3 linked regions of the Elephas maximus indicus genome follow. The protein of the gene in region 2 purifies or fractionates together with the protein of the main gene of each other region. This does not show direct contact. Links are inferred from orthologs where the notes say so. Each region holds a gene or a part of one and is shown on either strand. Other genes may lie near its edges.

Evidence for each region.
Region 1: the proteins of KIF5B (region 2) and KLC3 purify together in Homo sapiens (affinity purification with mass spectrometry; 3 studies listed by BioGRID and IntAct, with this or other methods). This does not show direct contact. The link is inferred for Elephas maximus indicus from reciprocal best matches to the Homo sapiens genes KIF5B and KLC3.
Region 3: the proteins of KIF5B (region 2) and KLC2 fractionate together in Homo sapiens (co-fractionation; 7 studies listed by BioGRID and IntAct, with this or other methods). This does not show direct contact. The link is inferred for Elephas maximus indicus from reciprocal best matches to the Homo sapiens genes KIF5B and KLC2.

The regions. Positions count from the first base shown.
Region 1 is NC_064829.1:104,371,974-104,382,299, forward strand, and holds the start of KLC3 (kinesin light chain 3), read right to left. Parts: upstream 4,862-10,326; 5' UTR 4,748-4,861; intron 488-4,747; 5' UTR 474-487; coding exon 216-473; intron 1-215. UniProt on the Homo sapiens protein: Kinesin is a microtubule-associated force-producing protein that may play a role in organelle transport. Plays a role during spermiogenesis in the development of the sperm tail midpiece and in the normal function of spermatozoa.
Region 2 is NC_064822.1:22,778,153-22,789,165, reverse strand, and holds the start of KIF5B (kinesin-1 heavy chain), read right to left. Parts: upstream 4,915-11,013; 5' UTR 4,470-4,914; coding exon 4,344-4,469; intron 1-4,343. UniProt on the Homo sapiens protein: Microtubule-dependent motor required for normal distribution of mitochondria and lysosomes. Can induce formation of neurite-like membrane protrusions in non-neuronal cells in a ZFYVE27-dependent manner.
Region 3 is NC_064825.1:129,407,214-129,417,545, reverse strand, and holds the start of KLC2 (kinesin light chain 2), read right to left. Parts: upstream 5,172-10,332; 5' UTR 5,110-5,171; intron 5,103-5,109; exon of another isoform or gene 4,969-5,102; intron 4,323-4,968; 5' UTR 4,276-4,322; coding exon 4,042-4,275; intron 1,642-4,041; coding exon 1,402-1,641; intron 1,302-1,401; coding exon 1,232-1,301; intron 571-1,231; coding exon 348-570; intron 1-347. UniProt on the Homo sapiens protein: Kinesin is a microtubule-associated force-producing protein that plays a role in organelle transport. The light chain functions in coupling of cargo to the heavy chain or in the modulation of its ATPase activity.

The sequences.
Region 1 (10,326 bases), on a different chromosome or scaffold from region 2:
CTTCAGTGCTCCTATAGCTGGGCTTAGCCCACCCCAGGCCCGACCCTGCTACCCCACCCCCCTACCTGCACCTCCCCCACCCCAGGCCTCACACCCCCAGCCCTGCTCCCCTGTACCTGTGTCTCCACCACCCCAGGCCTAAACCCCCCCAGCCCTGCCTCCATATCTGCACCTCGCTCACCCCAGGTCTGACCCTTCCAGCCCTGCCCCCATACCTGTGCCTCGCCCAGTCCCAGTTCAATGGCCTCCAGCGAGTGGCACACCACCTGGTGCTTTTCTTCCAGCAGCTCCAAGCCGGCCGCCGGGCCCTGCCCTGCCAGAGCCTCAGCCAGGTGCCCAGCCAGGCCACGGTGCTCGGCTCGCAGCGCCTCCAGCCCCTGCACCACCTGCCGCGTCTGCTGCACCAGCTCTTCAGGATTCAGGCGCTCCGGGCCCAGCCCCATGTCGCCGGGGACCGCCACCTCCACTGACATGGCTGCTCCTGGGGCTGCCGAGATTGGGGAGTCAGTGCCAAGGCCAGGAAGGCCCCCTGTCTCCACACCTGTCCCAGCCATCAGGACCCCCCCGCCTCTAACCTCCCCCCATCCTGGCCTGCCCCCTGCCTCCACGCCCATCTCAACCGGCAGGACTTTCCCCCACCATCACGTCCTCTCCCTAACCCAGCCAGCCTCCTGCCTCCTCACCCTACCTGCCTATCCCGGCCAGCTCCCGAGCTCCACGCCCATCCCACCAGCAGAACCTCCCTGGCCCAACCTCTCCCCATCCCAGCTATCCCTCTGCCTCCATGCCCTGCTCATCCCAGCCAGTCCCTTGCCGCCACGCCCTCCCCATCCGGGACAGCTCTTATTTGGGAACATCCGAGTCCACCTGTGTTGGGGCCCTGCCCTGAGGACAACGCCCTAAACCCCACTAAGTATAACTAGCCAAGAGAGGGCAAGCAGCTGTCTCAAGGACCCCATGCCGGCCCTCAGCTGACCTGGCCAGCCCTCCCCACCCCAAGGACCCAGGAGACCCTAACCCAGAATCAGGGCTGGAAGACCAGGATGGAGGCTCACTCGTCCCTGGGCATGTGGGGCGGGGCGTGTGGAGGCGTCAGCCTCTCCATGAGCTCATTCTCACTGAGTTTTTGTTGGGAACCAGTCAGACAACTGGGGTTGGGGTGAGGAGGACAGGGCCATGAGGTTAGGGTGCTGGAAGCAGAGGAGACGCTAGGTTGGGGGTATGGTGGGGAGCCCCATATGTCAGCTCCTGGGGCATGAGGAGCTGAGGGTCCCTGAGGGAGCAGGGGCCCTGCCCTCCATCACACACAGGCCCAGCTGGCTCAGGGCGTGATGGGACACACGGGTGTCAGGCGTGACTTGTGGATGTCACACTGGCCATGTGACAGCTGAGGGTCTGAGGACCAGGTCGTAATGAGTGGGCGTCCCACATGTGGGACTTCCTGTGGGTATATATGGGTGACAAGGTCACAGGTACCTAACTTCTGGTGCTTCTGGGACCCTCTCTCACACACACACACTCCTCTCTCAGAAATACATCTCAACACACGCACAAGCACACTTCCTTCTTTCAAATACAATATACACACATACGTCTCTCAGAAATACAACTGAATACACACACACTTTCTTCTCTTCTTTCAACACAACACAACACACACACACTCCTCAGAAATACAACTCGACACGTCCTGCCCCACTGAATACCACACACACATATACACACGAGGCACAGTCCTCTTAAAAATACAATGCAACACACACACACATTTTCCTTTTAGGTTATTTTAGAACTATAACCTGATAGAACACACTAACTCATACTAACACACGCACCTATTCTCTCTGAAATAAAACACATACACTTCCCTCTTGGAAATACAACCCAACACAAAGGCACACTCTCCTCTCTGGAGTAACAGCCAACCCACACGGAAACTAACTCTCTCCTCCCCTTAGCTCCCTCGCCTCAGAAAGTATAAGCAAATCCCTCAGATTTAGACCGTCTCCTGATCTCTCTGCTTGTCCCAACGACATACACACTCCCGCACGCTCACACAGCCTGCAAGCCGCCAACTCCCCACTACCTCCGCAGCGCCTCCCAGGAGTCACTGTGAACCTGTCACCATCTTCCCCAAATGCTCCCTCACGTCCTTGCCTGGACAGCCACACACTCACACACCTACACACTGCATACCCACAGACACACACAGAGAGCTTCAAACACAAGGGAGTCCTCCCAGACTCAGTTACCCTGCCGGAAGCGGTGCCCACAGCGCAGACACCTGTGGCTGCACAGAGAAGGCAGTTCCCCGATTTTCACACCCATCCTCTCAGGTACACTTCACTGAAGCCACTGTGTCCACCATGAGCAGCCCAGGGGTTTAGCACCTCTTAGCACACTCATGATCAAGCACACTTAGACGCATACAGGAGTCCTTGGGTGGTGCAAACGGTTAGTGCACTTGGCTGCTAACAAAGGTTAGCAGTTCGAGTCCACCCAGAGATGCCTCAGAAGAAAGGCCTGGTGATTTGCTTTCAGAAAAAATCAGCCACTGAAAATTCTATGGAGCACAGTTCTGCTCTGACATACATGGGGTCTCCATGAGCCGGAATCGACTTGCCTGCAACTGGTTGGTAGATACATACAGAAAGGGCGTGAATGGAATCCTGTGGACTGTACAACCGACTGTTGATCGCCATTAACCTCAGTCTCTCTCTCCCCCTTTCATATACACACATATTGTTGTTGTTAGTTATTATCAAGTCAGTTCTGACTCACGGCGACCCCATGGGTGCAGAGAAGAAACCGCTTCATAGGGTTTTCAGGCTGTGACCTTTCAGAAGCGAATCGCCAGGCCTGCCTTCCAAGGGGCTTCTGGGTGGGCTCAAACCACCAGTCTTTCAACTAGTAGCCGAGCCTTTAACCATTTGAGCCACCGAGAGGCTCCATACATGCATATGTATATGTGTATATGTATGTGTGTGTGTGTGAGATGTGTGTGTGTGAAACCTGTGAGAGCTGGAACTCCGTGGGACTGCCCTGCTTTTCCAGGTCTTGTAAGTTTTCTGCCTTTGACAGGGTGCCGTCTTACCGCTTCTCTATCGCTCTCTATTAGTGGGAAATATTTTAGTTTTCCTTCTCTGACAGATTTCTGCCTGACACAGGCTCCATCTTTCACAGGTGTTACTGTGTGTGTGTATATATATATATATAAAATCTCATACCTCACACACAAGCCATAGTGGAACTCACAATCACACAAGCTCATCAACAGTCATCCCAACAACCACAACCATTATTCACACAATTTTGCCATCAGACACAACCTCCCCCAAGGTCACACGCCACCTCAGCCAGTCTGACCACCCAGCCCTCCCACAGTCACACAAGGCTCGGGCAGCCTCCTAACACACACCATCTCCCAGGCTCCTCCATTCCCAGAGCAGCGGACCCCTTTCATCTGCACAGTCTCCTGTGCAGAGGCACGTCGTGACAGGATGAGATCCACAGTCACCTCACACATCGACCCGGACACACACGCCCTCTTCTTCTCTGTCATCCCACAGAATGGCTGGGGGATAATCCCAGGCACACATCACTCGGACATCCCTTCCTCCAGCGCCCTTCTCCTACACTCAACCAGCCCCCCATAACAGGCAAGCTTTCACTGCACGTCCCGCCTGGTCAGAGCAGCTCAGCCAGTCACGGTCAACCCCCTCAGTCCCTCTCTAAAGTCGTGGCCTCACACCCACCTCCCCAGCACACATCCCAGCTCCCTGACACAGTCACACAGCCACATGCACCCTCACAGAGGCACACAGAGTCAACTGCAGGCACGTTATCACTCACGCAGTCCTATGGACACACGCACACACCATGGCTCAGGCAGAAAGGTAACCACAGCTACGCTCTTGATCACACACATAAGCCTAGAAACAGTTGGACTCCCCATTATACGCACAGCTTCATGCAGGGACACACAACCACTAGCTGCCAATGGTCTCCTAAGTCTCATATCTTTTGTCCTGACGTAAAGTCCCAGAAACAGCCCAACTCTCCCACACACACATCATCCACAAGCAGAAAGTTGGCCACAGTCACACAACCTTGCAATCACATACACAAAGTCCTGCAAACAATCCAACTCACAGGTGCACACAGTCAAAAGCTTGCTCACTTTTTCACCTCGCTGACACTGCCCCACACACAGGCCCTTAGGTCCCTCACGGAGTGACACACAGAGACCAGCACCCTTTCACATCCATACCCACAGCCTTACACCATCACACACACTCGTACACACCAGAGCCTCTCACACCATCCCTCACACACACACACACACACGCACGCATACACGCAGGTAGGCAGGGAGGAGGTTCCCATCATACTCCCCCCACCGCGTACGCTTACCCCTGGCCGCCGGCCCAGCCCCGCACCCCGTACCCCGCACCCAGGGATCCCTCCCTCCCTGCGCCCGTCACAAGGGCCCCCTTCCTCCCCCCTCCCCCAGGCCCCGCCCCGTCCTCGCTCCTGTTTACCTACGCGCGGGAGAGGGGGCGCGGCCCCAGCGAGGCCCCCAGATCCCCGGGAACCCCGGCCTGGAAAGGGGGCGCCCAGGGGCCCCAAGGCCCTTCCTGGTGGCCAGGTGAGCGGGCCCAGGGGTACTCCTGGCCCGAGGCTCCTCCCTCGGCCCCCGCCCCCATCACCTGGCCCCTGGGACCCCTGGCCGGTCCCTGGGGCTTACCTGACCTCGGAGGCTCCGGCACCAGCTACGCCGCCCCGCTCCCCGACCACCCCCAGCCCGGCCGCTCGGAGCTGATCCCAGAGTCTCGGGCCACAGGCTGCGCCTCCGGGGGCGGGGCGGCCAAGGGGCCCCGCCCACACAGGTGAGCCGGCCCCGCCCCTCGCCGCGGAAAGCCTCCGGCCGAGGCCTGGCGGCGGGAGTCGAGGAACCTCTGCTGCCCGGCCCAGGGCCTCTAAGGTGCGTCGAATCTAAGGATGATTCCAGCACCTGGTGGCCTGGAAACCGGAGTCGCGGCAGAGCTCGAGTCCTGGAAACTTGGAATCTTGGAAACTTTGGATCCCAAAACCATGGCCCTCTTGCTATGCCAACCTCGAGAGCTTGGTCTCTCTTCCTACAGATCTTCCTACAGATCTCGTCGTCATCAGGGCTCTTCCCAAAGGCTGCCTCCTCCGAGAGGACTTCCCTGACCACCGCATCTAAATTACACCCTCCATCAAGATACTAGCTCATTTCCCTGCTTGATTTTGTTCAGAAAATATTTCAGGGGCTAAAAATGATTTTATATTATATGTTGTATCACATATTGGAGCTCTAGTGGCCTAGTTGTTAAGAACTCGGCTGCTAACCAAAAGATCGGCAGTTCAAATCCACCAGCCGCTCTTTGGAAACCCTATGGGGCAGTTCTACTCTATCCTGTAGGGTCGCTATGAGTCGGGATTGACTCGACAGCGATGGGTGTGGGTATCACATATCATAATTCTATTATGTTATTATAGCATATTACATTCATTTATATTATTTTAATCTGGGGATCTGTTCATGTAAAGATTACAGCCAAGAAAACCCTAAGGGGCTGTTCTACTGTGTCACATGGGATTGCTGTGAGTAGGAATCAGCTGGACCGCACATGACAACACCATGTTGTTGTAAGTTGCCCTCAAGTTGATTCCGACTCATGGAGACCCCAGGTGTGCAGAGTAAAACTGCTCCATAGGGTTTTCACAGCTGTGACCTTTCAGAAACAGACTGCCAGGCCTGTTTTCCAAGGTGCCTCCTAGTGGGTTTGAACCACCAACCTTTTGGCTAGAAGTCCAGCTCTTGCTTAACCTTTGCACCACCCAGAGGCTCCCTTATATATACCACATTACATTATTAGAGAAGCAAGGTTATGGGATGACTAAGAATGTGGGCTCTGGATTCAAATTCTGATTCCAATACTTACTGGCTGTGCAGGCCTTGAGCAAGTAATTTAACGTCTCTGTGCCTCTGTTTCCTAATCTGTAAAATGGGCATTGTCAAAGAGTTATTGCAAGGATCGAATGAGTTAGTATATGAACAGTACTTCTATCAGGGCCTGGAACATAGGAAGCGCTTAGTAGTTGTTAGCTATTGACTGAATAATATTATCTTCTTGATTCCGTTTTCCCCACTAGCATGTCCTGGTTTACGGCAGTGGGTTAGTGGGTTAGCACGTCTTGAGAGCAGGGCTCTGTATTGTCAGCACTGTGTCTTTAGCACTAGAACACAGCCTGGCTCATGGTAGGCGCTCAATAAATATTCGTTGAGTGACTGAAGGACCAAGTCCTAGAATCGTAAAATGGTCAAAGCTGGACACACAAGACTCAAACCTCATAGAACTTGGTTCAACGCAAGCTTTTTCAAACTCCGGCAGTACGCTGATCACTGCATTTGACAAGGCTTCCACCAGAGGGCGCTGCGGGCCTGTGGACCCGGCCTAGACTCCAGCGCAGCCCTGCATCCTCCCTCACCAAAACCAAAAAAACCAAACCCGTTGTGGTGGAGTCTACTCACAGCGACCCTACAGGACGGAGTAGAGCTGCCCCGTAGGGCTTCCAAGGAGCAGCTGGTGGATTCGAACCGCTGACCTTTATGGTTAGCAGCTGAGCTCTTAACCACTGCGCCATCAGGGCTCCTCCTCCCTCACAGCTGCAGTTAACCCGCCCCTGCTCCCTGTTCCCCGAGTCCCAGGGCAGATGTCCTCCCTAATCCTCACCTTCTCCTCTAGTCAGGCTAGGTCAGGCGCCCCCTCAAGGTTCCTGCAGCCTCCTGGCTCCCCCTTCCCAGCCCCACCCACTCCAGATCGGCAAAGTCTGGGGACAGGTCGGTTTCCGCGAGTGGACTGTGAGCCCCAGGAGGGGAAGACAAGGTAGCAGTCACGCTGTGTCCCAGCATCACCCAGCACAGGCTGAGCACAGAGAAGCAACTGGAGAGAATGGGCGTTGACTGAATGATTGAAAAGAAAATCAAATGCACCCTCTCTGATTCCTCCAGGCAATTCTAGGGAACCGGGTTGAAGGCGGCAGCTGAGCCCCTCCCTCATCGTTTTGGCCTCAGAACATTGAATCTGCCACGGACTTACCAGGAGGCAGGGCAGCCGGACAGGAGCCAGGAGGCCAGGCACCAAATTCCAGTTCTGCCATTCAATCGGTGTGTGATCCCTGAGCCAGGAACTAACCTCTCTGGGCCTCAAGTTCCCCATCTGTAACCTAGTTTGTCAGGCTGGTGTGACGATTAGAGAGTAATTTCTGCAAAAAGCCTAGGACACCATCTAAGATACAACTATTGGTCTCTACTCATCTGGAGCAAAAGAGGAAGAAGGAAACCAAAGACTTAAAGAAGAAACTAGTCTATAGGAAAAATAGTCTACACAAACCGCAGCCTCATCTACTCTGAGACCAGAACTAGACGGTGCCCGGCTACCACCACCAAATGTCCTAGTCAAAGCCACAATAGGTGGACCCTGCTAGAATGGGGGAAACCCTGGTGGCATAGTGGTTAAGTGCTACAGCTGCTAACCAAAAAGTCAGTAGTTCAAATCCACCAGGCGCTCCTTGGAAACCCTGTGTGGCAGTTCTGCTCAGTCCTACAGTGTTGCTATGAGTCAGAATCTACTCGACAGCAATGGGTTTGGTTGGTTTTGGGACAGAATGGGAGAAAAATGTGGAACACAGCCTCAAGTTCCTAAAAAAAAAAAAAAAAACAGACCTACTGAACTGGTTGAGACTCTCTTAGACTATTGCCCTGAGATACTCCAAACCTTGAACTGAAACTAACCCCTGAGGTCACCTTGCAGCTAAATTAACAAACTGGCTCAGAAAATAATGAAATTTTCACCCGTAAATTCTCCTTAAAAAAAAAAAAAAAAAACATGATACCAGTCAACAATCACTTTAAAACAAAGATGAGAACATTAAAAAACAAACAAACCCTTGCCATCGAGTCCATTCCCAGTCAACGTAGAACTGCCCCATAGAGTTTCCAAGGAGCGCCTGGTAGATTTGAACTGCTGACCTTTTGGTTAGCAGCGATAGCACTTAACCACTACATCACCGGGGTTTCATAAGGGGGCAGGAAAACTAGATTAATGGAAATAGAACAACCAGAATGGAAATCATGAGACCATTCACGCATTGCGAAGAAATATAATCAATGTCCCTGAACAATTTGTGTAGAAATTGTTAAACAGGAACCTAAACTGCTATATGAACCTTCATGGAAAATACAGTAAAAAAAAAAAAAAAAGCTTAGGACAGGGTGGTACATGGTATACACTATGTATAAGAATGGAGGTGGGTGGTGGAAGGAGTCGGAGTCAAGTAGACCTGAGTTCAGATCCTGGTCTTGCCATTTCCTTTTCATGTGACCTAAAGCAAGCTGTGACCTTTTTCTGACCTCTCTTTTCCTCATTTGTAAAACGGGGATGGTTATGCTCACCACCCAGCATTTTTTATATTAGCTAAGTGTGAGCTAAGGTGACCATTTCTCTAGGCCTGCCCTGCGCCAAGCACCTTTGCACCACACCAACAAGTGCTGGTGTTTCTGAGTTCTTACTGGAGTCAGGCCCTGTGCCAAGCCCTGTACTCAGAGGAACTCCATTAATCCTCACACCAAACCCACCAGGTAGGTGCTAGGACTATCCTCACTCCACAGAGGCACAGAGAGGTTAAGTGACACGTCCAACGTCACACAACCAAGAAGTACCAGAGCCATCGAACCCGGACAGCTGCCCCCTGAGATGGGGACAATTATCAGTTCCATTCAAAGAAAAGAAAACTGCAGCACAGAGAGGAGAAATCGCTTGCCCAAGATCACAACCAAGAAGGCACTCAATAAATAGCCCATGTTATTCCTTCAGGCCTCAGTTTGCCATCTCAGGAGAATGGATGGATGAGGTGGGGCTTTTCTATTTTCATCTCTTGGCCACAGTTTTTTAAAAACTCTATTTTTTTTCCCCTTTCATTTGAAAATTAACCCTGATCCATTGCTGGTGGGACTGTAAAACGGTGCGGCTACCATGGAAAACAGTTTGGCGTTTCCTCAAAAATTCGAACATAGAATTACCATATGACCCAGCAATTGCAATCCTAAATATATACTCAAAAGTGAAGGCAGGAACGCAAACAGAAACCTGTACACCAATGTTCATTGCGGCACTTTTCACAATACCCAACAGGTGGAAATAACCGAAATGTCCATCCACAGATGAATGGAGAAACAAAATTCGGCACATACACACACCATGGGATATCATGCAGCCACAAAGAGAAGCCAAGTCCTGCTGCATGCCACGGCATAGGTGAACGCTGAAAACATCACGCTGAGTGAAATAAGTCAGTCGAAAAAGGACAGATACTCTATGATCTCACTTGCGTGAGATAAGCGAATATATAGAAACTAAAGATTATTAGTGGTTACCAGGGGTGGGAGGAAGGGGAAAAGCGGAAGTTTTTGTTTAGGGAGCTTTGAGTTTATGTTCATGGTGGCTGAATTTTTTTTTTTTTTTAATTTTTATTGAGCTTCAAGTGAACGTTTACAAATCAAGTCAGACTGTCACATGTAAGTTTATATACACCTTACTCCATACTCCCACTTACTCTCCCCCTAATGAGTCAGCCCTTCCAGTCTCTCCTTTCGTTTGTCAGCTTCCAACTCTCTCTACCCTCCCATCCCCCCCCCAGACAGGAGATGCCAACACTGTCTCAAGTGTCCACCTGATATCATTAGCTCACTCTTCATCAGCATCTCTCTCCTACCCACTGTCCAGTCACTTCCATGTCTGATGAGTTGTCTTCGGGGATGGTTCCTGTCCTGGGCCAACAGAAGGTTTGGGGACCATGACCGCCAGGATTCTTCTAGTCTCAGTCAGACTTAAGTCTGGTCTTTTTATGAGAATTTGGGGTCTGCATCACACTGATCTCCTGCTCCCTCAGGGGTTCTCTGTTGTGCTCCCTGTCAGGGCAGTCGTCGGCTGTGGCCGGGCACCAACTAGTTCTTCTGGTCTCAGGATGATGTAAGTCTCTGGTTCATGTGGCCCTTTCTGTCTCTTGGGCTCATAGTTATCGTGTGACCTTGGTGTTCTTCATTCTCCTTTGATCCAGGTGGGTTGAGACCAATTGATGCATCTTAGATGGCCGCTAGTTAGCATTTAAGACCCCAGACGGGTGGCTGAATATTTTGGAAAAGGATAGGGAGAACGGTGGCACAACATGAAAAATGCAATCCACGTCATTGAATTGAACTGAATCGTAAATGTATTGGTGAATGTTTTGGTGTACCTA
Region 2 (11,013 bases):
GATGAATCCCTAAAACTATTGCCCTGAGATAATCTTTAAACCTTAAACCAAAAATATCCCCTGAAGTCTTCCTAAAACCAAATAATAGTTTAGTTTAACTAGAAAAATGTCTGCCTTGAGCATTATGCTCTTTAAGAACTATCTGCACGGGACCATGACAATAGCAACTCAATAGACAGGAACAACTCAGAAAAGGAAGGTGAGGATAGCTGCACAACTCGAAGAATGTAATCAATGTCACCAAATGGTACACGTAGAAACTGAACTGGTGTATGTTTTGCTGTGTATATTTTAAGCAACAACAACAAAGTAAAAAAAAAATTTTTTTTTAATCATCTATATGAGACCAAATATGGTCAACAATTACTCTAAAGCAAAGATGAAACAGCCAGGGGACAGGGAACCCACACTACTGGAGGCGAAACATCCAGAATGGAATTACTAATGAGAATGTTAACACCTTGTGAAAAACGTAACCAATGTTTCTGAACAACCTGTATTGCTAAGTGGGAGCTGAATGTGCTGTATAAACTTTTGCCAAAATAATACTTAAAAGAAGGAAAAAAAAAAAAAAAACCCTGGTTCTTAGCTTTGAATTGTACATTACACCACCTTTATTTCTACGTATCTTTGAAGATACTTAAAATTTCAGATTTCAATTTTACAAACTCCAAGTCACAAGACGGAGTCACGTCTCATTTAAGCATCAGGGGACAAAATCAAACAGGAATAACTTTATTATCTGAACTGCAGCCATACCTTAGATTTCTTATATGAGGCAATTCCTGTTTGAGTCTGCACAGACCAAGCTGAACACCAAATTTGGTTATGAAGGACACCCTTCTGGAAAGGATATGCCTTCCTGTGGGATTTTTCAGATTACATGGGATTATACCATATTAGATTTTCCTTAAACAATGACTGTAGGCTAACATTCCAGTATTTTAAAGGTATGTGATAAATAGAGGCACCCTCTCTTCTTTCAATCTTCACTGTTAAGGTAACAGAAGGTTCAAACACCAAATCATCATTCACTTGAAAAGGACAACAGTGTTTTGCTTTAGGCAAGGAACTGGACAAGATGATCTAATTAGCTTAATTCTCTAATTTCAAAGAACAGTCTGTTTTTGGCAGCCTTTACAGTATTTTTTTTTTTACAGTATACCACACAATGAATACTGATTAGCACAGATACTCAATGATGCAAACAAGCATGTTCTACCTTTAGGATGCATAAACAGGTTCAAAAGTAATTTTTTCTACTGACCTCCCCCGCCCTGCCCTGTTTTCAGCAGGCTTACTGAAACTATACAAGGGGTTTCCCTTGTCCTCCCTTTTTTGTGGATAACAAGTTCTCTTATTTTAAAAACCTTTGCTTTAAAAAAAAAAAAAAGAAAAACTGGTGTTGCCTATACTATTTTCCTAAAACTGACCAAACTCCCTTTTAAAAGAAAACAGATTCTATTTGTATCATTTAAAGGTTTTTATTAAATAATTTATTTCATTAATGTGTGATATTTACAGCTCTTCACTAAGGACTTAATTACAAATAAATGTGTATAAAAGGCTGCAGAATACACAGAGGAACACTATAAATTACAAGGCTTGCCTGCCATGGGGTTATATTACATTAAAATCACTGATTACATGAGTAAAAGGGAACATTTTTAATGTCACAGTACTGGAAATGGAACTCAGGAAAAAAACAGAATTACTGTAAAGCAATTTAGTTTTAAATGCTGCATTGTAGCAACTCCCTCCTAAACTCTTTATTTTGAATCAAAATCAGGACCAGTATTCCCAAGAGATGATTTTACCTAGTGATTTTCTAATTCTACTTCCCCAAGCTGCCCTTATAAATTCCTAACCTCCTTTAGAAAGCAAAATAATTCATTTCGAAATTGTACAAAAATATGAGACCTTGGAGTAAATAATGCACTTACTATGCTCAAAAAATTGGTTCCTAAAAATAATAAACTGAACATGCTGCCTTAAATTTTTTAAAGCTACTCAGCTATAATGTATTCTTGCTTATATATACATATTTACACCAGACTAAAATGCCTACCAGTTTACCTAAAAGCCAACTATTCATTACTGATTCACAACTCCTATCCATCATGTCTAATACTGTCATTTAAATCTATTTACATTATTAAGGAAATTTTTAAACAAAAAGATATATTGTAAATTATTCCAAAGGAAAAAAACCTAGAATAAATGTATGCTTCCTGTGGCAATTACTTGTTTTCCTTTAGCTCTCTCCTCATATGTCATATTTGGGCCACATGAGAAGGTTGACTTCTAATCTTAATACATTTTATGAATGCTAACTAAATGCTAGCATTTTAAAAGAATCTTAGTGATACAGATATTGCATAAACACATACGAAATCCGGAGAAATAAGACATCCTTAATACCAATGTGAAAAGAAAATAGCTTTGATGTGTCAACCACTGTTGAAGCTGAGTAATCACCAAAGCTCTGAGAGAAACGAGTAGCCTCATGTTTGCCAACTAACAATCCAGGCTTCCCCTGATTCTAGTAAAATATAATATCCTAAACAAAAAGGATGACTACTTGACCTCCCTATGATGTCATGAGAGCGAGAGTTTTTCTTGGGGACTTGTTAATAAAGAACCAGCCTGACAGTCTTCACGCAGTAGTGGTTGGCAGTTGTTAGTGACCCAACGCCTTGTCTACCAAAATCCTACTGATAGCAATTGGGAGCTACGGCATTAATTTTCTAGAGACAACATTCATTTGGAAATATTTGCACAAAGCCCTAACGAACTTCAGTCCTATCTTATATGTCAATGCTTTCCATCATCAATTCCCATCTCTTATGACCTCTTTGCCCTACTTCTAAATTAAGCTGCCCAAATATGGCAAATTAACATAGCAAACGTTTGTACTGAAATGCAATGCAGAAAGTAATGTAGAAAAAAGTTCTGCCCCACAGCATCACCAAGAAATGTGAATTTAATTTTCAATCATAGTTCACTGTTTTGTATGCAATGTTACTATTCATTTTTAATTTCCTTGAACTGAGAATGCCATTTTCCGATATTTCGACGCCAGGGGTATAAAGACAGATAAGACATCAACGAATCAACCTCACATTCCGGTTTCCTCGACAATGATCCAAACCAAATCCAAACGCGCTGCTGTGGCGTCGATTCCGACTCATATAGACTACAGGACAGAGTAGAACTGCCCCATCGGGTTTCCTTGGCTGTAAATCTTTACGGAAGCAGACTGCCGTATCTTTCTCCTTCAGAGCGAACAGCGTGTTCGAACCGTCGACCTTTCGGTTAGCAGCTCAGCGCTTAACCAGTGCGCCACCAGCGCTCCTTGACAAGGATCAGCCAACTCTAATTACCATGCTTTATCCTACAAAGGGGCAATATCTCACCATGCCTGGGGTCTTCAAAACCTTTTTTCTTCAAGGTAGTTCTTAATTGCGTAAGTACAAATCTAGCAATAAAATAAGAAATCTACCTCACTGGACAACTTTTTTACAAAAGTTTGCTATTATATTTAATGATATACAAAAAATAACACCGTCTTAGACTATTATCCCATTAAATCCGTTAAGGATGAGGTTCTGGATCTTGCTGGGCACTTATTTCACCCGATCTGGACCTGACCAGCTAAAATATTAAACAAAAATTCATCACTCCGATGTCAAAACTCACTGTTCTTTTTAGTCCTCGACTCGCCGTTTGTAATTATTAACATGAAGTCATCATTCAAAAAGGTGAGTGGGTGAACATTTTCGGTTCAGGTACACAATATATATAGTTTGGTAGTTTTTCTTCTCCCGCAGGAGATAGTACACGGTTTAACATGCAGTTGTAGGTTTCCATAAAACCAAGCATCTTTACTATTTAAGGTACCATTTTTTTTTTAGGGCTAGGGCTGGTCTCACAGTCCGTGAGCTTCTAAATTAACCTTACTTATTTCATGCATGGCAAATTTGGGGGTTGTCCAAAACACCAACAGCATCGGCAACAGTAAATGCACACAAACATAAACACACACAAATATGCACTAAATTTGCTCCCCCGACGATTCCTCCACCGCCCCAGGTAGGGGTGTATCCCAGGCTGAGACGAGGCGCCTCCCGTCGCCGGGCGCCTTAGACCCGGGTGGGGGCGATCCAAGAAAACCCGTGGAGCTGCGCAGCCTCCCTCCCCTGGGTTATCTGAACCGGCAAACCCCGCCCGGGAGGCTTGGGAACACCACTGCTCCCCCAACCCTGCACTCCGCCACTTCACTGAACTCTAGGCCCAGTCAGGCCCGATGGAGCACGATGCGGGTAAAGGTGGGGGTCACTCACCGCCATCATAACTGTGTCTTCTCCCTGAAACTTGGCGACGTACTTATCGCCGCGGTTCACCTCAGACTCATTGAGAGGTCTGAAGCGACACATCACTTTGATGTTGCACTCGGCCGGGTCCGCCATCTTCCTCGCTGCGGGGCCAGAAGCCGGGAGCCACTCCCCGCCGCTCAGTCTTGAAGGAAGCGTGCACGAGCTGAGGGTCTGGCCGGGAGTGCCAGCGAGCGGGGGTCGCGAGGACGGTGGGAATCAGCAGTTTTCCGCGCAGCGCTTCCCCGGCTGAGGGTGGCCGACAAGCGGAGACTCGAAGTACCGGCGCCGGCAGCCGTCGCCCTGAGGCTCACTTCCGCTCCATCATGGCAGCCATGACGGCGGCGGTACCGGTAAAGTGTCCCGGGGCTCCTTAACTTTTTTCCTCGCCGGCCAGGGCCAGCTGCGAGGCTAAGAAGATTCTCGAGGCCAAGGAAGTCGCCCTCTCCTCCCTTCTCGGGAAAGAGCAGACCGGGCTAACAGTCTGGCCGCCCGGCTGTACCCCTGCCCGCTCGCGGGCTGCCGCCCGACCAGTCTCGAAGGCGCAGCCGCGGCGATGGGGCGGCGGGGAGCCGGGAATGGGCGGTGCGAGCGAAGGACCGCGCGTGCGCGGCGGGCCCAATCCCCGCCCGCGCCCCACCGCCTCTTCAGTGTGGCCGCCTCCTGGGATCGCTCTCCGCTCGCCGGTTGCAAATTCAAGTTTCATTGGATGCTGTCTTCAAAAAGTGCTTTTGGAGCCCAGGCGGCAGCTTCCCAGCACCGTCCGGCCGCGGAATTCCCCAGAGCCAAGGCAGACGCGCCTAGCTTTCTTTTCTTTGTCAGGAGACGGGACCTGTTACTGTCGTAGCTTGTTTAAATAAAATACTATATTCGGAAAAGGAAGTATTCGCTTTCATTTTGGTCTGGGGAAAAACTTTACTAGCTGATCTTTTTAGAGCGGTTTGCCAGAAAAAGGAAGGGTGAGATGTTACTTTCTGATTTAAGGCGTTGCTCCATTCTGACGGTGGGTTGGGACGACAGGAGTAAGAAAGAAGGAAATTTGCCCTAGGGAATATAGAAGGTTGCGGAAGAAATGTGGAATGCTGCGGCAACATGTGAGAAGGCCCTCAGTGAATCCGAGGTCCCACCTTAGCAGATAATAAATTCATGGAGCTCCTCAACGCCAACATCTGAGAAATGACTGGCCTGGGGCGGGCTGAAAGTGTAAAAATGTTCTCAAAAGGCTTGGATAAATTTGCGGATTACATGTCCAAGGAAAGCCACTCCACAGTTGACTTCACCTCCTATTTTTAGATGGATACCATGAAGGGTTTTCACGTGGAAGTGGCTTTGAGATGCTGTGGAAAGAGAACTATAATGACAATTTGGAATCTTTTCTCTGGTCCTCAATTTTTGTTTGTAAAATGAAGGATGGGACTATGAAAACGTCCAATGCCCCCAATCATCCTTGTAACACCAGAAACTAAGCCGTGATCCAACAGCTTGAGGTTTGTTCCCTTGCTGGCTCTTAGAACCATCATCAGTTGTCTCACCAAACAAAATCTGGGGGCAAGTGTGGAGTTTAGGTAAAATTTAAATGAACCAGTGATGTGAGCCAAGGTATCAACATAAGTCCTGGGCTACAAAATGGACCCAGGATCCTGTTCCCTGGGAAACTAGAAAGTTTTGATGTGGAATGTTTCTTCAGAAATCCCTTCTCCGAAACTCTGCACACGAATTGGAAATCAAAGCTGTTTCTTTATGTCTTAGATCCTCCAGGCAAGAGTGGAATGTTTCATTCTTACTGGGATAATTTCACACAGTAGTTTCTGATAGTCTGTGACTTTGGAAAACAAAGCTCAGTAAGAAAGCAGTAATCCCTCAAATAAGGGAGCTGCTATGATACTTCACAAATACAGCTTGTCTGTGTGTATTAGTTATCTAGTGCTGCTGTAACAGAAATACCACAAATGGATGGCTTCATCAAAAATTTATTCTCTCAGAGTCCAGTAGGCTATAAGTCCAAATTCAGGGTGTCACATCCAGGGGAAGCTTTTCTCTCTCTTTCAGCTCTAGAGGAACGTCCTCTTCCCTTGGTCTAGGAGCTTCTCTTGGAAGGAACCTCAGGTCCAAAGGATGGGCTCTACTTCCAGCACTGCTTTCGTGGTGGTATGAGGTCCCCCTGTCTCTCTGCTTGCTTCTCTCTTTTATAACTCAAAAGAGATCGGTTTAAGACACAATCTAGTCTTGTAGATCTCATCAATATAACTACCACTAATCCATCTCATTAACATTATAGTGATAGGATTTACAATGCATAGGAAAATCACATCAGATGACAAAATGGTGGACAATCACACAATATTGGGGATCATTGCCCAGCCAAATTCATGCACATGTGTTTGGTGGTCACAATTCACTCCATGACACCATGCGAGAAGTATTGTTTCTTAATGACTTTGCAGCTGGCTTTATCTTGTCTGTTAGTCTGGTCTGATGGATGACAGAGTAGAGTTTTACTTTCTCACCGCTTCAGTCCTGTTTTTCTTATCCTGGTTTCTTCATCATATCTATATACTGTCATTATTACCTCTAATTTCAGAAGAAGACAGTTCTCTACCTCCCTAAAATTAATTTTTCATCTATATTCTGAATCTCTTTTAACATCACTCAACACCTGGATCCCACTAGCAGTCCCTATCTTCTAGCATATTTGATTTCTTCTTTTTGTCAGCCTCTCTAGGGTAGGGAGTGAGGAAGGAAACATATGCTTAGTCTCTCCCGTCTTTCAAGCAACAACAAAACCTAAGCCTTCACTCGTTCCCATTGACTATTAATCTTCTTGCTGCTATTAAATGGGTGAAATTGACCAGAATGGACTGTGTAAAACTGGACAGTAGCTGCCGCATCTAAAGGGAGCAGCAGCTACTCAACTGAAGCCATGGGAGAATGTGACCCTAACACTGTCAGGTCTTCTTATTTTCAAGAAAAGTTATAATCCAGATTCTTTGAAAACTCTCAAATTTTAAATTAAGTTAAATTGGCTATTAATTAAAAAAAATTTTTTTTAAATGTGTAAGCTAAGTAAAACACACCTGTGGTCTGGATGTGGCAGGTGGGCCACCAGCTTTCGACCTGTGCAGTGGGATCTCATGAAGGCTCTGTCCTCAACCCTCTGCTCTTTTCTCTCTGAGCTCACTTCTTCAACAATTGCTGGAATTTCTTATTTCCAATCCCGACTTTTCACCTGTGTGATGTTCCCATCTCTTCCAGCTGCCTGTAGGCCACCTTGTTTAGGATGCTGTACCATAATCTCAGATTTAGCATTCCAGAAATGAAATGAAATATCTTCCACTTCAGGTAAATACTTAATCCAACTCTTCAGCTCTCCAGTTTCGATGATGGGTATCCATAGTCTCAGGCTGGAAAAGCTGCAGTCACCTGTAGCTCCATTTCCTTTACCCCCATACATGCAGAAAACAAGCATGGTAGTCTGTACCTGAAGTTCTCCAACTTCTACTCTACCGTTCCTCTTTGTTCCCCAACTCAGAAGATCTCAGGAATGATTAACCTAGAGGAGTGATTTTCAAACTCTACTCCATGGAATGCTAGAGGTTCCAAAGAGATGACCTAAGAGACTTTATGGGTGTGGAGAGGGAAAGAAGGTGAGGGAAAGGGCCAAAGAGTGAAGCTGTGGGAACCTTTGCTGATGTGGTACCTGCCAACTTCTGTTGCCTTTCGACTCTTTTCCCTTCCGCCTGCATAAAAGATTCTGGAAGCTCAGGATTTTTGAAAACAAAATCCAGAAAGGGAAGTGTCTACAAGAGCCTTCTGCTTTCAGACCTAAAATACACTTCTTCTGGGCAAGGGAGCACAAAGATTGTCATCACAGATCCAGGAAGGAGAAACATGCTATGTGAAAACCACGTATATTTCCAAAAATTGTCCTGTCGTAGTAGTAATGAACAAAGCAATAGGGGTTTAAGAAATATTTTGCTGAGGGAACAAAAGATGACTAAAAAACTGCTTAATTCCAGTTTTTTGCCCAAATGTAGAAAATATTGCATTATTCTTTAGCAGTGAAGTAGATTTCCTTGAGAGTATAATTTGAGACTCATTAACATTGCTGTCTTAGTTATCTAGTGCTGCTATAACAGAAATACCACAAATGGATAGCTTTAACAAACAAATTTATTTTCTCACAGTTCAGGAGGTTAGAAATCTGAATTCAGGGTGCCAGCTCTAAAGGAAGGATTTCTTTCTCTCTCTGTTGGCTCTGGAGCAAGGTCTTTGTCTCTTCTGATCTTCTGCTCCTAGGCAATCTTCATGTGGCTTGGCAGCTCTCTTCTCCCATCTCTGCTTCTCTTGCTTGCTTATTTAATCTCTTTTGTATCTCAAAACAGATTGATTCAACCCTACACTTTTCCTGTCATTGACATAACAAAGACAACCCATTCTCAAATGGAATTTGAACCTCAGGTATAACCAAATTGCCATCAAGTCATTCTGACTCAGGACAGAGTAGAACCGCCCATAGGGTTTACAAGGCTGTAAATCTTTATAGTAGCAGACTGCCACATCTTTCTCCTACAGAGTGGCTGGTGAGTTTGAACCAACAACCTTTTGGTTAGCAGCTGAGCGCTTAACCACTGTGCCACCAGGACTCCTACCACAGGCATTAAATCAAAACCAAACCCATTGCTGTCAAGTCGATTCTGACTCATAGCGACCCTATAGGACAGACTAGAACTGTCCCACGGGGTTTCCAGGGAATGGGTGGTGGATTTGAACTGCCAACGTTTTGGTTAGCAGCTGAGCTCTTAACCAGTACACCATCAGGACTCCACCACAGGCACAGAGGTTAAGATTTACAACACGTATTTTTGGGGAACACAATTCAATCCATAACAGTAAGTTTTTCTTATAAAAATGTGAGTGGTACTTTCTCCTACACAGATTTAGAATATTAAATCTTCACAATGGAACTTAGTCTCCAAAGATGGTGCTCCAATGAACCATGCTTACCTTTGTGTAGTCTCTCTCCTTGAATCTGGGCTGGCCCTATGACTCACTTGTAACCAGTGTAATGTGGCAGAAGGATGACAGTGTGTGATATCTGACATTAACTGAGAAGAAGCCTTGCAGCTTTCACCCTGGTCTTTTGGAACACCCTTCCTAGGAGCTCTGGACTGCTGTATAAAAAGGCCAGCTACCCTGAGACCATGCTGAGACCAAGTAACATTACAGTGGATAGTCACAGGTGATCCCAGCCTTCCATCCATCTCCACCCAGGCACCAGACATACGAGTGAAGCCATCTCAGATTGTTCAGATCAACACACCTACAGCTGACTATCACTGAGTGATCTCAATTGACACCCTTGAAGTGGAAGAATCACCCAGCTGAAGCCTGCCCAAATTCCTGACCCATAAAATGATGAGATATAATAAAATGATTATTGGTTTAAACAGCCCAGCGTTGGATAATTTGTTAGCTGGCAATAGATAACTAGAATAATACCCTATAATTTGGAACTTAAAATTTATGTCTTGGAAATAATCCTATAAAATGTTACTTCTGTACTTATATCAGACCATATTTAGACTGATTATAAATTAACTAGTTGGAGGGGGTCTACAAACATAACCATTGTTTATAACATTACTATGGAAATTTTGTTTTAGAATTTCATGCGAAATGACTATTTTTAAAAGGTCTTTTAGAATAGGAAACTATAGCACTTCTTTTATTCAAGCGTATATGAGAGACACCCATTCCTCTCCATTTCCACTACCCCTTCCTAGTCTAGGGCTTCATTACTTCATGCCTATGGTATTACAATAGCTCTCAGCCTCTTTTCCATTTGATCATTCAAATAATCATAAATATGGATTGAGCGCCTACAATGAGCCAGGCACTGAGATAGGTGTTAGAGATGAAATGGAGAAAAAGATTAAACAATTCTCTCCCACAGCCATTATTTCGTCTGAATTTTTCAGATTAAATTTCCTAAAACATTGCTTTTATTACATCATTTTCTAATTCAAGAACCTACACCAATTCCTTTTTTTCCTACCCAAACAAGTTCAAGTTCCTCTACTTGGCATCTTAGTTACCTCATGTTACTGTGACACAAATACCACAAGTAGGTGACTTTAAAGAACAGAAATTTATTTTCTCACAGTTCCTCTACAAGCCAAGGATGCTCACATGGCACTGTCTTCCCTTGTATGTATCTGTGTGTCTTCATAACTCAGAAGTGATTAGATTTAGAGCTCAACCTACTTAGGTGTGGCCTAATTAATACAACAGAGAAAAGCCTATTTATGAAAAGGATCATATTTATAGATATTGTTGTTGTTGTTAGGTGCCATTAAGTTGATTCTGACTCATAGAGACCTCATATATCAGAATAGAACTGCCCTATGTGGTTTTCTTGGCTGTTAACTTTATGGGAGCAGATTGCCATGTCTTTCTCCCAATTTATAGGTGTATGGGCCAAGATTTCAATAAATGTGTTTGAGGTACATAGTCCATAACATTTGGATTCCAAGGCTTTCTAGAATCTGACTTCCCCACTGTTTCACAAATAATTTTTTAGACTCCTGGCACCTGGCATTTTCATTGTCCCCTTCTTATAATTTGCTATTTTCAAACTCGT
Region 3 (10,332 bases), on a different chromosome or scaffold from region 2:
GTTTTCCCACCCCCATCCCTCCAGTGCCGTTGGCTCCATATCCGTCCTTGCCTCTGCCCAGGCTGCTTTCTGCAGGGAAACCTCTCTTGACCCTCTTGTGTTCTAGGCAAACTCATCTCTCACCAAAGGCCCCACTTAAGCCCTGGAGAAGCCATGGTGACATCCCGGTACCCCCGAGTCCTCATGGGCTGCCCCCTTGGTTATATCCAAGTCTTACTCCTCCACTAGACTGAGCTATTCATGTCTGGAGACTTCCTGTGGCTTGGCCCTCCAAGTATAAGTTTCTGTCGCCTCCCAGCAAGGCCCAAGCCCTGGCCGGTAGCAAGCTCTGAGGGTTTGTGACTCACCGATACACCAGTGCCAGGATGTTCAGCATGGTGGCCACATCGGGGTGGTCATGGCCCGACGTCTTTTCTAGGTCCTCGAGTGCCTGCTTACAGAGTGGCACGGCCACCTCATAGCGGCCCTGCGACGCGTACTGGATCACCAGGTTGTGCAGGGTGCGGAGCCGGGCCGGGATTTCATAGCCTCCATGCTGGGCGGCCACATCCCCTCCGCCAGGGCTGGGGGCTGCAGGGCCAAGGGCAAGAAGTCAGATGTACCATCTACTGATGGGGCTGGGCCAGCCCAGGTGGCTCTGGGCAAGTCACTAACCGCTCTGGCTCGATTTCCCCATCTGTAGAGGAGTCGTCACCCCAAGCCTGCCCACCTGCAGGGAGGCCACAGAATGAGCGAGTTTGGAGTCCCTGCTCCATACGTCAAGCTGTGTGTCCTAGAGCAAATCATCTAACCTCTGAGCCCAGCCTCCTCATCTGCAGAATGAAGGCTCGGGTAGGTGCTCAATAGTTCAGGCAAGGCAAGCTGGCCCCAGCCCGGCACTGCGCATGCGGCTCCTCCTCCTTCGCCCTCAGGGTGATCTGCAGCCGCCCGGGGTGGGGGCGCCTCGGGGAGGAGAAGAAACTACCAGTGGTCACAGCAACTTGCAACAGGCCCAGCTGCTCCAGAACTCTTAACTGCCCCCTCAGAAAGCTGGGGGGGGGTGGGGGCGGGAAGGCAACATGGAAGAACCGGCCTCTTAAGATCTCACAGGCAGGGTGTTGGGGTCAGAAATGAGGCAGGAAAGAGCATGGTGGCCACTCGGCCCCCATTTCCTGGAACCCCTGGGGTCCCAGGACCAGGAATTCATACGGCTTCCCACCCTCCTACTCCAGAACCAACTGCCCGTCAGCACCTGGGCCCTGCTCGTCCTCATTGGGAAACAGGTCATCCAGAGAGTCTTTGGGGACATCCCCCTTCTCCTCCTGGAGGGAAGACAGGCCTGGTGTCAGGGAGGAAGTTGGGGGTCAGTGGGCCACCCCTCCCTGCCCCCAGGCCCCTTGCCCAGTGCAGCTGGCAGCTGACCTGGCTCACGCTGGGGGAGGTGTCCTCATCCAACTTGCGGATTTGGCTCATGAACTGCAGGTGCTGCTTCTCCTCCTCAAGCTGGGCCACAGCCTGCTCGCTGCGCTGCAGCTTCTGCTGCGTCCCCGCCAGCTCCTCGCGCAGCCATTGGTTCTCCTGCACCAGGCGCCGCACCTGAGCCCGCAGTTTCTGCTTCTCCGACTCTACAGCCCCCAGGTGGCTTGACAGTGCCAGGATCACCTGTGGCGGCCAGTGGGATGAGGATCAGAGCCCTGTCCACCTCACAGCGGGGGCCTCCAGCCTGGGCCTGCTGGAGCTCTCGGACCCCAGGAAGAGCCAGGCCTGGCTAGGACACTTCCCCCAAGGCCCCTAACAGACCAGTCCAAGGCCTGAGCCCAGGAGGCCTGGGCTCCCCAGACTCCTTTCTGGAGTAGGGAGCCCTGGGCTCCCAGTCTGGCCCTGCTGGACCCTGACCAAGTCCACCCCTTTCCTGGGTCTCAGCTTGGCATCTGCATTGATGGTGCACTGCCCCCCTTGACAGGGTGTTCTGAGCAGGAAGAGGGCTAGCTGGGTGCTGTGCTCTCCACAGGCTAGCGAACTGTTCTTCATCTCTCCTGGGGGTGATACTCAGGCCCCTGCAGCCACAGCCTCTACTCTGCCATTCCCACTGTCCATTCTCACCCAGAGTGGGCAACTAAAAGCCTTCTCCTGCAACCTTGCTCCAGAGCCCCGGCTGAAAGACCCCATCCTGAGCTCTGCCCAAGGGTCAGGGTACCCCTGTCCTTCTGAAGCTCCCAGGGAGGGAAAGGTGGGAACCCTGAAGCTCCAGATGGTCTGTGCAACCACAGCGGCAGGTAAGGAGATCCAGGGCCTCCGACTGAGGCCCTACCCCTCTCCCCTTTCCTGAGCTTCCAGGCTCTTCCTACTGGGGGGTCGTGGGATAGGTTCTTCCCTCTGCTTAAAATGCCCTCCCTCCTTTCGCCTCTGCTGAAACCCCACTCAGCCTTCCAGGCTCCTTCCCCTCTGTTCCATCTCATACTGGGCTTCCGGCACCCTCTACCACCCTGTTCCCCATCTGTGTCTGTGCACCCTGGGGTGGGGCCCGTGTGTCCATCTTGCACCCAAGAATCAAGTGGCTGAGGCCTAGGCACAAACATGCCTTCCAGAGGGCCAGGCAGTCTGGGCCCTACATTTTCTAGTTGGTTGGCAAATGCCTAATGACAGGTGTTTTTACAACCGCTAGCTTTTAAAAACATTCTCTGAACAGCCTGGAAGTGCGTACAGCAGATGGAGTAACTCCTATTTTAAAGACAAGAAAATCAAGATAATACAACCTGCCCAGGATTCCCAGAGCCAGCCAGGGGCTCGGAGAAAAAAATTTTTTTTCCCCAGAGCTTAACTCCTGGCATGCCCCAGTGCCCGTGGACACGTCCACCTGCCTGTCATCCTGGCAGCCCCAACTCAAGGCCAAACAGAACTCCTGACCCATCCCCAGGCTCTGGTGGCCCCTTAACTTACTCAAACCACAAGCCTGGGAGTTGCCCTGCCTCCTGTCTCCTTCACTTGATCCTCAGAGTCCCCTCGGGCCTACCTCAAAAGCATCTAGAACCTAGCCCTTTCTCTCCACCTCCATGGCCACCCCATTAGTCCAAGCCACCATCTCTCACTTAAATTCCAGTAGTGGCTTCCTAACCGCTTGCTTCCACTTTGGGCCAACTATGGGGCCCACTGTAATTCATTCTGTATACCTCATCCAGAGGGAGTTTTCAAAACCTAAGTTAGACTATGGTCCTTGCCCCCGTAAAGCCCTCCAAAGGCTTCTCCATTTCCTGAGAATCCTGCATCACCATGAGATCTTTCCTCCCTCAGGACCTTTGCACGTGCAACTTCTCCCCTTCCTCCCTTTTCTGGAGGCTGGTTCATCCTTCCTTCAGGCCTTGGTTTAAATGTCATTTCCTCAGAGAAGACTTGCCTGACCAATAAACAGGAACCCTACTATAAGTTACCACAGGATCTTGTTCTTTTCTTTCTAGAATTCACCACACTTTGTAACAATTATTTATGAATATATGTTTCTGCTTTTCTTCCTAGAATTCACCACACTTTGTAACAATTATTTGTGAATGTATGTTTCTGTCTTTCTTCCTATTGGACTAGGCCAGGCATCTTGTTGGATCCTGTATCCCTGGCACCCAACAGTGCCTGGCACATAGTGGGCACTTGATAACTTATCTGCGAATGAATAAATAAAAGAATGAAGAATTTGGGGGCATGTTTCCTTAAAGACTTCCTTTCTGCTCATCTATGTCAGCCAATCTCTGCTAGGTAGCAGGGAGCCAGGAACAGTGTGCTGGGTGGAAGCTGATCAGGGACTCCTGGGGCAGGGCAGGGCTGGGGTCCCCAAAGAGCATTCATTGAAACAGATATTTACTGGGATAGCAGTTCTATTCCATCCTATAGGATCGGTATGAGTCGGAATCAACTGCACAGCAATGGTTTTTTTTTTTTTTTTTGGTTTTAACCCAAGTTGGGCCAGGGACAGATGGTTCCCTGCACAGATTCTGCTTCTCCGATGCCAGGATTATATGGAAGGCTCCACTCCTCCTGTCCCCTCCCATCTCAGTGCCCCAGGCAGCCTACCTGGGCCTCCCCCAGCCCCAGCTCTATGGCTTCCAAAGAGCGACGCAGGAGGACACAGCGCTCCTGAGAGCCCGGCTCGGTCTCACCGGCCTCGTGCGCGACTAGGGGGGCGAGCAGGGCACGATGCTCCCCGCGCAGAGTCTCCAGCCCCTGGATAACGGCCTTGGTGCCCAGCACAATCTCGTCCTGGCTCAGCTTCTCCTCCCGTGGAAGCACCATCGTGGCCGTGGCCATGGCCGCGCCGCCTGCGAAAGGGAGAGGGCGGCAGGCGGGCGCCGGGCCTGGGGCCACACCGCCGACCGCCCCGGATTAGGTAAACACCGGCGGTCCCCAAACGCCTGAGTCCCCCAGGTGCCCCAGTCCTCCGGCCGGCAGCCCGCACCGTGCCCACGCTCGGCCTACAGGGGGCGCGCCCGGCTCATCTCGCCCCGGAGACGCAATGCGGTGCGGCGTGAGGCCAGACCTGAATTCGGCCCCAGACCACCAGCTCAGGCCGGCATGGGCTGCTTGGTCTCGGGGCTTCCCTGGGGATTCCTTTCTCTAAGGCAGGGCGCGCCAGGGGATGGTGCTACGCAGGTCGTGGGGGCTCACCCCCGGTCGGGAGAGCCCGGTCCCAGCCCCCCGGGCAGCCCCCTTCCCAGCATGCCGGCAGAGCCACGGAGCCCTCCTCCGGGACAGGCCGACCCCACGGAGACCCTCCTGGGGAGGGCCGAGACCTGGTGGTCCCCCATCTCTCCAGGCCGCGCCCACGACATCTCCTGCCTCAAGACCGGGGTGGCCATGCCAACCCGCCCCCGGAAAGGCCGCGCCCCTGCCCCACCGGCCGCGACCCCTCCGCCAGGCGCTCCCTGCCGCGCCCACGACGCCCCCTCTCCAGGCCGCCCCTCTAGGCCTGACCCCCGCCCGGCCCTATCAGGCCGCGCCGACCTGAGCCTCCCGCTTGGCCCGGCTCCGGCTCCGGATCCCACCCCGCTTCACCGGGACCCGCAACCGTGAGCCGGTCCCACCGCCTCCATCCCGTCGGCCTTCCCAGCAGTCCCCGCGCCGCCTTAAAGGTGAAGCCGCTACCTCAGCGGCGTCGGAGGAGGCGAAGCGCGCTCCTCTCTGCCCGGTGGCTGCCTTAAAGGAACAGCTCCGGCCGACCGGCCCCGGGGGGGCGTGGCCACCGAGGCGGCGGGGCGGGGCGGGGCGGGGCGGGGCTGCCCCGGGGTGCAGGTTCCCAGCGGCAGCTTCCCACGCTCTCGCAGCCCGGACTTCTCGGCAGTCAAAGCCCCGAGGCCTTCGGCCACCAGGGGTGTAGAACGGCTCGGGAGATCGTGACACGATCGCAGCCAGTGCAGCGGGCAGAGAGGCGACGGGAGAAACTGAGGCCCAGGGAGGCTCGGCCGGGCGACCTCGGAATCAGGAGCGAGACTGGGACTAAAAATTACGATAGTTGTTGCCATTTATTGAGTGCCTACTGTGTTTTGGGAAACCCTGGTGGCGGAATGGTTAAAAGCTCGGCTGCTAACCGAAAAGTCCACAGTTCGAATCCACCAGGCCCTCCTTGGAAACCCTATGGGGGCAGTTCTACTCCGTCCTATAGGGTCGCTATGAGTCGGTATCTACTGCAACGGGTTTTACTGCGTGTCGGGCGCTTTGGTGCCTTCAGTACCTTAACGGACTTAATGCTCACAAAGACCCGCCTCTCACAGATCTGTTGTTGGGGGCCGCGGAGACCCCAGGTGACAGTAGAACTGACCCATCTTCAAAGCTGTAATCTTTGGGAGAGCATTTTGTCAGGTCTTTCTCCCAATGAGCCACTGGGTGGGTCTGAACCGTCAACCATTCTGCCACAAAGGCTGTTTTCACAGATTTGTACCCAGGCTTGTCTCCAGACCCAGACCTTTGGTCTTAACCCCATCTCCCAGATGGTGGTTATGCCCCACCCCTTCACAGGTGTCCTTGGCCCTGTAGGGGATTCATGGCATCTTAGGGCTGCTTTTTAGGGAGGAAGGGACAGAGGCATCTGGCCAGAAGGGAGAGGTGGCAAGGGGAAGCTGGGCATCGACAAAGACTCCTGGCCTTGTGAGTGACGATCAGGACAAGTTGGAGCATCCTTGGTCTGTGACGTCATTCCAAAAACCAAATCCGTTGATGCTGAGTCGATTCCGACTCATAGTTGACTCATAGTGACCCTATAGGGCAAAGGAGAACTGCCGCATAGGGTTTCCAAGAAGTGGCTGGTGAATTCAAACTGCTGACCTTTTGGTTAGCAGCCATAGCTCTTAACCACTGCACCACCAGGGTCTTTAGGGGCTCAGATCAAATGTCACCTCCTCAGAGTCCTTCCTTGATTCCCCTCCCCCATCTAGAGCAGCCCTCCAGCCCCTCTCCAGCACTCCCTGATTTCTCTGATTAGCATTTATCTCTCTAGCGTTTTTCCTTGATTTGCTGTCTCCCCCTGGAATGCAGGCTAGGACCTGCCCATTTTGTTCTCTTAGAGCAGCTTCTGGCACGCACATAGCTCAGTAAATGTTGGTTTAAAAAAATCAGAGGTGAAAACGTTATGCTGAGTGAAATCAGTCAGTCACAGAGGGTTACTGTCTGATCCCACTTACATGAAATATCTAGGATCGGCAAGTGCATAGAGACCAAAGTTTATTAGTGATTACCAGGGACGGGTGGCAGGGAGGGGAAAAAGGGGGGGACACTGAGCTTCTGTTAAGGGTGATGGGAAAATTTGGAAATGGATAATGGTAATGGCTGAACAATAAGACAAAGAACTAATGTCACTGAATCGTACACACGAAGAATGTTGAAATGGCAAATGCTTACACATATATTTACCGCAATAAAAAGAAAAACTCCCATCAACTTGTTTTAGACAGCATCTTGTACAAAGCAAGTATTGAATAAATGATTACTGAATTATATTTAAAAAAAGACATAGGATGCCTGATGGTCTCGCTAGGTCCCACCCTGGCCCTGCCTTCTGGTCTGCGGCTCTGCAGCCCTAGGTCAGAGGCCAGCCTGGTGCTGTACCCACTGCTTCTAGGTCACTAGCCCTTAGGGGTGACAGTGTGCTGACCACCCTGGGGACAAAAGCTGTGCAGGGATCTGGGGCATGCCTCCTGAGGCAGGGGGCGTTCAGACTCAGGATTCACCAGGCTCAGCATCCTGGTGGGGGCAAGCATCCCTTTGGCATCATCTCTGACTGCAAGATGGTCCAGCACCCTTAGCTTGAGTACATTCTGTGACAGGAAGCTCACTCCATTCTGCTGTGAGATAACTCTACATGTCAGGAAGTTTTTCCTAAGATAAACCTAAAAGTACCTACCTACAGGGCTGTCGGAAACCCTGGTGGTATAGTGGTTAAGACCTATGGCTGTTAACCAAAAGGTGGGCAGTTTGAATCCACCAGGTGCTCCTTGGAAACCGTATGCGGTAGTTCTACCCTGTCCTATAGGGTCTCTGTGACTTGAAATCGACTCGACGGCAACAGTTATTATTATTTTTTTTTTTACAGGGCAGTCAGAACATTTAATTGTGCTTATGAGGAGCCTGTACACAGATCAAAAGGCAGTAGTCTGGACAGAACAAGGGGATACTGCATGGTTTAAAGTCAGGAAAGGTGTGTGTCAGGATTGTATCCTTTCACCATACCTATTCAATCTTTATGCTGAGCAAATAATATGAGAAGCTGGACTATATGAAGAAGAATGAGGCATCAGGATTTGAGGAAGACTCATTAACAACCTGTGTTATGAAGATGACAACCTTGCTTGCTGAAAGTGAAGAGGACTTGAAGCACTTACTAATGAAGATCAAAGACTACAGCCTTCAGTATGGATTACACCTTGACATAAAGAAAACAAAAATCCTCACAACTGGACCAATAAGCAACATCATGATAAACGGAGAAAAGACTGAAGCTGTCAAGGATTTCATTTTACTTGGATCCACAATCAACACCCATGGAAGTAGCAGTCTGGAAATGAAATGACACAATGCATTGAGCAAATCTGCTGCAAAAGATCACTTTAGTGTTAAAAAGCAAAGATGTCATCTTGAAGACTAGGGTGGGCCTGACCCAAGCCATGGTGTTTTCAATCACTTCATATGCATGCAAACCTGAACAATGAATAATGATGACCGAAGAAGAATCAATGCCTCTGAATTATGGTGTTGGCGAAGAATATTGAATATACCATGGACTGCCAAAAGAATGAACAAATCTGTCTTGGAAAAAGCATACCCAAAATGCTCCTTAGAAGCAAGGATGGCAAGACTTCGCCTCACATACTTTGGGTGAGTTATCAGGATGGACTAGTCCCTGAAGAAGGACATCATGCTTGGTAAAGAGTAAAGGGTCATCGAAAAAGAGGAAGACTCTCAAAGAGATGGACTGATACAGTGGCTACAACAATAGGTTCGAGCATAACAACAAACAACAACAAGGCTGTCATGGATTGAACCGTGTCCCTCAAAAATGTGTGTCAACTTGGCTAGGCCATGATTCCCAGTATTGTGTCATTGTCCACCATTTTGTCATCTGTTGTGATTTTCTTATGTGTTGTAAATCCTGTTTTTATGAGATTAATGAGGCAGGATTAGAGTCAGTTATGTTAATGAGGCAGGACTAGAGTCAGTTATGTTAATGAGGCAGGACTCAATCTACAAGATTAGGTCGTATCTTCAGTCAATCTCTTTTGAGATATAAAAAAGTGAAGTGAGCAGAGAGATAGGGGGACCTTATGTTACTGAGAATGAAGAACCAAGAGGGGAGTGCATCCTTTGGACTCGAGGTCCTTTTGCTGAGAAGCCTCTAGACCAGGGAAGATTGATGACACGGACCTTCCCCCAGAGCTGACAGAGAAAGAAAGTCTTCCCCTGGAGCGGGTACCCTGAATTCAGAATTCTTGCTTCCTAGTTTTTTTTTAGACTGTGAGAGAATAATTTTTTCTTTGTGAAAGTCACCCACCTGTGGTATTTCTGTTATAGCAGTACCAGATAACTAAGACAAGGGCTCACTCCTGCCTCAACTCTATCTTCAGGAAGAACAGTCTGCCTCCCTTCTGCCAACAAAGGTATTTGGAGACAGTGGTGATACCTCACCCAGTTTCCCTTCTGTTTGGCCTGATGACCCGATTCCTTCACCCACTCCTATGCAGTTTCCTGACCCTTCCCCACCCCGGTTTATCTTTTCTAGGGTAGTTTAGCATGTCAGACTCACTCTTGGAATGTGGTGTTCAGCCCAGGCCCAGTGATCCAGACCAGGTGTGAACTGCACAGTTCAAGGTGGGACGTGGGCCTCCCTGAGTGAGCACACCTGTCTTCCAGTGCAGCCATGTCTGCTCAGGTTAAGCGTGTGTAAAACCCTAGGCACTGACATCCCAGGTACAGTCCACCCAGGTTCTTCTCCCCTGTCCTGAGCTTTTGCTGATGATTTTTTCCTGTGATTTTTTAAAGATAGCTAATACATTGAGGGAAACTCTGGTGGCACAGTGGTTAAGTGCTACGGCTGCTAACCAAAAGGTCAGCAGTTTGAATCCACCAGGCGCTCCTTGGAAACTCTATGGGGCGGTTCTACTCTGTCCTAAAGGGTCTCTATGAGTCGGAATCAACATGACGGCAATGGTTTTTTTTTTTGTTTTAACACATTAAGACCACTATTACAAGAACTCAAGAAATAGTTTAAACTCAGAAGAAAATTTTTTTTGATGGTTATGAGTAGGGGAGGGAGGGCGGGAAAGGGATATTCACTAATTAGATAGTAGACAAGAACTATCTTAAATGAAGGGAAAGACAACACAGAATACAGGAGAGCTCAGCACAACAGTTCCAAACCAAAAGCACAGAAGTTTCCTGAATAAACAGAATGCTTTGAAAGCTAGAGTAACAGGGCCAGGGATCTGGGGACCATGGTTTCAGGGGACATCTAGGTCAATTGGCATAAGATCTATTAAGAAAACATTCTGCATCCCACTTTGGTGAGTGGCGTCTGGGGTCTTAAACACTAGCAAGCAGCCACCTAAGATGCATCAATTGGTCTCAACCCACCTGGAGCAAAGGAGAATGAAGAACACCAAAGATACAAGGTAATTATGAGCCCAAAAGACATAAACAGCCACATAAATCAGAGACTACATCAGCCTGAGACCAGAAGAACTAGATGGTGCCCGGCTACAACTGATGACTGCCCTGATGGGGAACACAAGAGAGAACCCCTGAGGGAGCAGGACAGCAGTAGGGTGCAGAACTCAAATTCTTGTGAAAAGACCAGACTTAATGGTCTGAGACTAGAAGGAC